2 linked regions of the Struthio camelus genome follow. The protein of the gene in region 1 interacts with the protein of each later gene in a pairwise test. Links are inferred from orthologs where the notes say so. Each region holds a gene or a part of one and is shown on either strand. Other genes may lie near its edges. The genes, in order: FIP1L1 and CPSF4.

What was found.
Region 2: the proteins of FIP1L1 (region 1) and CPSF4 interact in binary tests that used the Homo sapiens proteins (3 or more experiments, as listed by UniProt). The two-hybrid records come from large-scale screens. The link is inferred for Struthio camelus from reciprocal best matches to the Homo sapiens genes FIP1L1 and CPSF4.

What each region holds. Positions count from the first base shown.
Region 1 is NC_090945.1:57,345,159-57,349,062, forward strand, and holds the start of FIP1L1 (pre-mRNA 3'-end-processing factor FIP1), read right to left. Parts: upstream 2,769-3,904; 5' UTR 2,694-2,768; coding exon 2,612-2,693; intron 1,641-2,611; coding exon 1,601-1,640; intron 1-1,600.
Region 2 is NC_090956.1:4,548,599-4,552,502, forward strand, and holds the start of CPSF4 (cleavage and polyadenylation specificity factor subunit 4), read right to left. Parts: upstream 2,882-3,904; 5' UTR 2,725-2,881; coding exon of another isoform or gene 2,718-2,724; coding exon 2,615-2,717; coding exon of another isoform or gene 2,320-2,614; intron 1,645-2,319; coding exon 1,594-1,644; intron 1,096-1,593; coding exon 943-1,095; intron 151-942; coding exon 55-150; intron 1-54. Other genes in the region: PTCD1 (pentatricopeptide repeat-containing protein 1, mitochondrial), read left to right, coding at 2,320-2,724, 3,084-3,436. UniProt on the Homo sapiens protein: Component of the cleavage and polyadenylation specificity factor (CPSF) complex that play a key role in pre-mRNA 3'-end formation, recognizing the AAUAAA signal sequence and interacting with poly(A) polymerase and other factors to bring about cleavage and poly(A) addition.

The sequences.
Region 1 (3,904 bases):
TCTGATCCCTTCTTATTCCGGCAATATCGGGCATGATGAGTGTTGCCCCTAAACTCAACCACTTTACCATCCACTAAAATGATACAGAACCCGAGTAAGACTTCATGTCATATATATGTGAAGAATGCCAAAGTGAGAGGCCAGAGACCGCAGTTTTTAAGGGGTAACTGTTACCCTCCTTTCTGAGTTCCAAACACAACCTGTAAGAAACATAAGCTGCAATCTGTTGCCCTTTTAGTCCTTAAGTACTATTTAAGGCAGACAACAGGGATCATCAGCCAAGCTAGACTGCATGACACTACTGACCAGAAAACAGAGTAAAACACCACCCTTTCTGCAGATGGTTTTTATTGCCACACAATTAATGTTCTTAAGGGAAAGCACTATTGACAAAAGATGTTACGTCAAAAAAAAAAAAAAAAGATAACTGAACAGAAGGAATCAACTGATATGGAATAGCTTCCAAATGAGGAAGCAAATAAACAGATTATAATTCTTTGTCCTGGAAAAGAGATGATTCAGGGTGAATGGGACAGAGATCTACAAAACCATGAATGCCTTGGAAAAGGTGAATAGAAAACAACTCTCATAAGAACTAATTTGGAATCAAATAATTACATCTAGCAGGCAGCTTCAAACTGATGTCTTATGTAGTTAAGTGATGGAAGTCATTACTGCTGCAACGCACTGTGCACATTAAGAGTTGATACAGAGCAAGCTTATGGACAAGGAGTCCATCAAGGGTTACTTAGCAGAAGAGCTCTCTGATTGAAAAATCCCTGCAGACTGCTGGAAGAGTTTATTGAAAATAATACCTGCATTCTTGCATTGCCTTCGCATTTATATTTAATTTTAACTTACCTTTACTGTCATCAATTTCCATAGCTTCTCATTATCCGAGACTTCTCTCATTCAACATCCAAAAGCTGACTCCTGCTTCCAGGCAGTCCCTACTACAACCCCCACCAACACCAACCCCACTAGATTTTCGAAGCAGCATCTTTGCGCTATCTCTCATACAGCTCTTAATGCCTCAGACAAGTTCCCTTGAACGCTTTCAAAGCTTTGGCTACCTTTCTTTCAAAGGCTCCTTTACTAAACTATCTACCAAACAAACAACAACAACAAAAAAAGTTGAGCAAATGTGTTACGGGACGTATGCCTCAAACTAGCCAGTACTCTCTCGTTGCTTCCTTGTATTCGTCTTTTTATAACTAAACTGTAAGCTCTTTGGGAGCACGCTAGCTTTTACTCTTAGTTTGTAAACCATCTAGCACAAATGAAGTCCTGATTCATGGCTGAGATTTCAAAGCACAATAACTACAGAAACAAAAAGTTCCGATGGCATTTTGTAAAGAGCTACCGATATCCATATAGTTAAAATCTAAAACAACTTTCATATTCAAAAGTATCCCAGTCTCTCAGAGAAAATCATTTCAACGAAAAGCCAAATAAGTTTTTTAGACCAAATGTATTATATTAAAGGGCTCTTCAAAAAGACAAGCATGAGCATTCTGGTGCTATGGACTTTCAAGCAACTGGGAAAAAGAACGTTATGATGTCGTTGTGCAGCTGCACTACAGAATTTCCAGATACCCACCTAGCCTTTTCTTCTTCTGGTCTCTCTATTTCGTTTTCATCTACCACAAGAGAAAAGAAACACAGCAGTTAACAATTATATATTTAAAAATCCCTGAAGACCACCAACAGCAGGTATCTTGCCAAGCGGATTACTAGGCAACTCTTCAATTTACTATCCAGTAATGCTGTAGACGTTTTCATAATGCTTCAATTATGAAATCAGTGAGGCAGACCACAGAACCCTTGCAGTGCTCCGCGCCACCAGGCCCACGCCAGCGCTCGCTCTACCGGGAGCACGAGCATTGCAACGTAAAGACAGGCCCTGGCATCGCAAACAAAGTTTATACCGAAAGGGTAACACGGCTTCAACATGCCAATGGGTCACGTCAGCACTAACGATGGTAACTGGGGTGCTGGAAATCGGTGCAGACCGCTTGGTGTTTTTTTTTTTTTGGGGGGGGGGGGCAAGTGCGGGCTTCTTCTCAAAGGACTTGATGAAAGATAAAACGTCCAACGCAAAAATCCGCAAGGTGCCCCCTGACGACGCGACCCCCGGCGCAGGCGTCGCCCCTCACGGCCGCCCGCAGGTGCCGCGGGGCAGGGGGCCACGCGGGGCAGGGGGCCACGCGGGGCAGGGGGCCACGCGGGGCAGGGGGCCACGCGGCCGAGCTGGGCCGGGCCCGGCTCGCCGCCGCGCTGCCGCTGGGGCCGGGGGCGCCCGAGGCGGCGGCGCGGCGCGGCGGGGCCATGGCGGCGGGAAGGGGGAGGCTGTCGCCCGCCGGGAGGGCTGGACGGGAGGAGGGGACTGCGCAGCCACGGGGGTGGCGGGACCGGGGGACCCTTTAAAGCGGCGCGGGCCGCGGGCCGGGCCCGGCTCCGGCGGGGGCAGGTGCCGGGCGGGCGGGCCGCGCTCGCGGCCCAGGCGAGGCGCGCACGCCGCGGCCTACCGGGCCGGGCTGGGCCGGGCCGGGCCGGGAGCGGGGCCTGGCGCGGCGCGGGGCCCGCGGAGGGGGTCGCGGAAGGTCCGTACCGCCGTAGAGCCACTCCTCCTCCTCGTCGCCGGCGGCCCCGCTCACGTCCGCCGCCAGCCGCTCCACCTCGCCGGTAGACATGGCCGCCGGCCGCCGGCGCCCAGGCCCGGCGGCGCCCAGGCCTCCTGCGCCTCCTCCTCCTCCTCCTCCCCGCGCCCGGCAGCCGCGCCGCGCCGCGCGGGGCCTCCGCCGCCTCAGGCCGCCTCCGGGCTGCGGCCGGCGTGTGCGAGCGCCCGGCCGGGCCTCCGCCGCCGCCCTCGGAGGAGCCGCCGCCGCCGCCGCCTGCTCGGCGCTTCCCCTCCCCCGCCGAGTGAGTGACACGCACAGGAAGCGGGCCCGGCCCGGCCCCGCGGCGCCCTGGGCACGGGCATGCGGGGGGCGGCCCGGCGGGGGCGGGAGGGGCGGCCCGGCCCGGCCCGGCCCGGCCCGGCCCGGCGTGAGCCCCAGCCCGGGCCCCGGCGCCGCGCTCACCTGGGCCGCGCCGGCCTCGCCCGGTGCCTGCCCGGGCTGCCGGGGGGGCGGCGTGTCCCTCTGCGCCCCATCGGCCCCTCGGCGGAGCTGGCCGGCGGCGGGCGCTTGCCGCGAGGGCTGCGGGGGCCCGGCGCCGGCAGCAGGGCTGGACCCAACCCGCGCGCAGCCGGGGCAGCTGCCCGGGGACGAGCGACGGCGCGGCACGGGCGTGCGGCGCTGCCGCCTCTCCTGGCTGCCAGCTCTGGGGCCCCTGCGGCTGGAGGTAACGTTGCGGGGTTTAACAACGCCTTACACGCTTTTCCTCCGCTAATCATCCGATTTATTTGGGTTTTTTTCCCAAGCTCCGGTAAGAATTCGCACATTCGCAGTGTGCCGCGACGAAAAAGTTACAGTGGACTTAGGCGTTCCACCGAGAAATTGCTCCATCTTAAAAGCAGCGGGAAGTAGCAAGCCATTTCTAGTGATGGATTGTTCTCTTTTCATCTGTGAATGTTGCATCAACAACTGTTAAGATTCATTATGAAATATTAAGTACCAAAAACTCTAAAAAACAGGTTTTGGCCAGTTGTAGGTACAAATGGAGTCTTCACTGTCTTAGGATGCTTGTGAAAACTGAGAAAGTACCCCTGCCTCACAGGAGGCCCACCTGAGAAAAATCGGATTAGAGCGCTTGACTGTATTATACCACAACACTGGGGGCAGGGGAGCTTTTTCTTCAAACTGTCTGCGTGGTAGACCTTGTTTTAAAGTTTTACCTGTGGCGTAACATTTCACTGAAGTTCACGTGAATAAACCTTACCTTCTCAGAAGGGATTTTTTCT
Region 2 (3,904 bases), on another chromosome or scaffold:
TCACCCTACCCTTGCTTTATAGGCACAGAAGCAGCAACTGTGTGACATACATACCATGCTTACAGAAGCCTCTGTCATACCAGGGACAGTCTTTGATCTTAGACTCCGGGTCAATGTGCAAGAACGGACATTCTTTGTTACTGCATTCCCCTGTACCAAAGGCAAATACGCTTCTTAGCAAACGGTGCAGGCACAAGATCAAAGCACTCCCAAAACATTACCTGAATCATGTAGCTCCCACAAAGCTGTTACCAACATTTATGAGTTCAGGCACAACCTGCCTTGACCTAGATGATAAACACCAAGACTCACCCTAGGTGAGTAAAAGTCTACCAGACTGGATTATTTACGTGTGCTTTTAAAACAATGCGGAAACTGAATTCGAAAGAGCAGTCATGATAACGAAAACTAAACATTTAGTGCACCAAAAGTGTGGAGAAACTACAAATTGCACACTAACCTCAATCCAAGGAAACCTACAAGACTGTAAGTTTCTGACAGCAAGTTGCCTCATTATGTCCAGATCTCCAGAGCTGGAAAGCAAGTGCATAAAAGTTTTGCACCCCCATACCCTCTGCTGCTCATCAACTTCCCAAAATAAAAGTCATGCAAAGACCACCTACTCAGCCTACTCATCTCATACCCAAAACAGAACATTAGGTACAAAACCCAGCGAAGACTTGAACTTCCCCCCTCTTCCCCCAAGGGGCAAGCTCTTGAGAGAGGACACATCTACAACATATGAAGAATTTAGGGGGTAAAATAAGGTGAGGGGCTAAGCAGATCTGACAAATTACAACCTAACAGTATCAGCAGACACAGAAGAGCTGTAATGTTTTGAAGATGGATGAGACAGGGTGAGAAGGATGTATCAAGATCCTCTGCACCATCAGATTCCCACGCTAGCAAGGAACGTCAAGTAGGAGCTACAATGCCCCTTACCAAATTTGGAGTAGAAGTAACACTCAGGCATCTTGGTCATGTCATACTCGTGCAGAAACTCGCACTGGTCTCCCTTTTTGCACAGTCCACGTAGCCAGTGCTTGCAAACAACTGTCTTTTCCCCACTTATGTGTCGGAACGGGCACATGCCACCTGCAGAACAATAGGGCAAGGAAAAAGAAAAAAGAATATTTAAAATCTGCAGCACAAGAAGCTATGCACAAGACAGCAGCAACACTTGACTCCCCTCTGCAAGAAGAGTTTTCAGAAGACTTCACTTTTTCTGTAAGTGGCAATGGCAGAACAGGGAGTTCTTGATAAGAGTCTTCTTTTACTCTCTAATGAGCAGAGCAGTGCAAGCTCCAGCTCTTAATCCGGGCAGCCATGACCCACAGCTACTAACAAGGCATGTGCAGAGCAAGGACCGCTTGCAATCAGTTCAAACCTGTCTTTGCAGGTAGCCTTGCTTATTCACCCCCACTTCTTCTAAAAAATACCCTTACTTCACAATTGTGGCAGCTAATTCCATCTCAGTTATTCCCCATTTTTACAATATACCATGAGCATTCTACACAGCGATGTGCTAAGGAATCTAGTTTCCCTTTCCCCTCCCATCTGTAAAAGTATAATTGTATTGGGAATAGTACTTGCCTTTTCCACAGGCCGCTTTTAAAAAAAATTCACAGACAGCAGCACCTGATTCTGTGGAGAAAATAGCCAAAGAAACACTATTAATTTTTATGAGAATTTGCAGCAATTTTTAAAATATTTCCTTCCCTACAGAGACAACCCGGTTCTCAACATGAAAAGAGCAGTGTTTTGGTTTGGGGAGTTTACTTTCCAGTGCGAGTTCCTTGTTCAAGTCTGGCCCTCACCAATATCTGTAAACTTTTTGGTAAAACGTACACCAACAGGATTTACAGGAGCTTGGTGGTGCCTATTTAGCCTTTCGGAGAACCAGGTTTTGTTGACCAGGCTTTCCTCTGCTATTAAATCAATCACGTTGGTGAAACCAGTCTTTACAGCCAGGAAAACTGAAGTCTTATATTGTTTTGACCAAAAAGGACTGAGACGAGCATTAGGATGCTGTCCCTTGCTGATCCTGACCTACAGGGATCAGATGATTTAAGGGCATTAAAATATTAGTTTAGTAGTCTAGCCAGAAAAATTTTAACAATCTGTAAGTCTCCCTAGACTACTTGTACCAGATTACTAGACTGTAGGAGAAAGCTTAGAGCACAGGCCACAGATACACTCCAAGATGAGATCTTCCTGGTCCTTAAAACACCTCATCCGTGGAAGGGGAACAAAGAAACTGAAGTGCTGTGGAGAAAAGTCAAGTTTATTCAGAATGATGCCTCCACCTTCACTTTCTAGCCTGGTCTGGCACTAACTATGGCACCAAGGAAGGAAAGAAAAACATCTGGGTTGAGACCGAAGCTCTCATAAGGGACAGCAGAAGTTGGCTCGATGCAATAAGAGCCGGCAGAGGGGCTCAGGCCCCCGGCAGCCCCCGCCCGGGGCTTCAGGCAAAGCCGGGCCCCCCGGGCCGCTGCCGGCAGGAGCTCCGGCCGGGCCCCATCCCCGGGGCAGGACCCGCCGGCGGGGCGGGGAGCGGAGGGGACAGCCCGCAGGCCCCGGTGCCCGCCCCGGGAGCGGCGGCCGCACGCACTGTCCATGCCGGGGAAGGGCAGCGGCTGCGCGCCCAGCTGCTGCTCCACGGCCAGCTCCAGGTCGAACTTGATGTGGTCCACGCTGGCGATGAGCTCCTGCATGATGGCGGTGGGAAGGGGCGCGGAAGGAGGCGGAAGGGGGGGGGGGGCCCGGCGCGGCCCGCTGCGGCGGCGTGTGGCGATCGGCGGCCGCGGGATGCCGGGAGTCACCTCTGACCCCCCGCCTCCCGGCAGGCCGCGCGCCTCCGCCAATGGCGCCGCGCCGCCACGCCCCTTCCGCCCGCGCAGGCGCCGTTTGGCGCGCGCGGCGCCGAGCGGGGTGGCGGTCGCCTAGCGACGGCGGCGGGAGGCCTCCTGCCCCCCCCCACCCCCTCCCCGCCCGGCGGCGACGGGCCGCCATGAGGCTGCTGCTGCTGCGGCTGGTGGCCCGCGGGCCGCCCCGGGCCCCCCTCGCCCCGCCGCGGGCAGCGCCCGGCCTGCTGCGGCCCCCGAGCCGGGGGCGGCCGCTGCCGGCGGCCCTGAGGCCGCTCGGCTCGTCGCCGGCGGCCTGCGCGCTGCGCGGCGGGGACCCGGCCCAGCTCGGTCCCGGCGGCGCCGCTGAAGCCGCCCGTGACGCGGACGAGGAGGCGGACGTGGATTTTGGGACGCTATCTAGTAAATTTTCTTCCAGAAAGCATTATCACAAAACCACGTCGCACTTTCAGAATTTACGGCTTCGAGAAGAGGGGGAGGAGGAAGAAGAAGGGAAACCTCGGCGTGGGCCCAAGAACACACCGTACTGGTACTTCTTAAAATGCAAGGCCCTCATTAAACAGGACAAGGTTTGTTCCCAGTTCTTTGCTTGTTTGTTAAAGAGCGTTTGATGATAGAGAGGCAGCACGGTGTTGTAGACTTGCTGGGCCAGGAGCTAAAAGAGGATTCCGTTTGCAAAACCTGGACTACGGCACTGGTCTTTCCTATGCCTGTTTCCCCTCCGAAAATAAGAATCAAGTTAACTAGTCAGTTCTGAGGGTGTGCAATTAGTTCCTCTACAAATTCAACCACTCCTCATCTCCTCCTCCGTTCAGCCAGTCTGTCACCCCCCGTGGCAGTCCTGGGTTTGATATCAAGTGTGCTGCGGCTTCTCACTCCAAACACCTCCAACGCTGTCCCATGTGTATTGTCCTGTGTGGTCACTGTATGTCTTTACAGAAGAGAAGTAAAATAAGGAATGCGAGGAACCCTGTGCTCTCTAGGACTTCTACCACAGTCTATTAACACCCATTATAACTGATTCTGTTGCTGCTTCA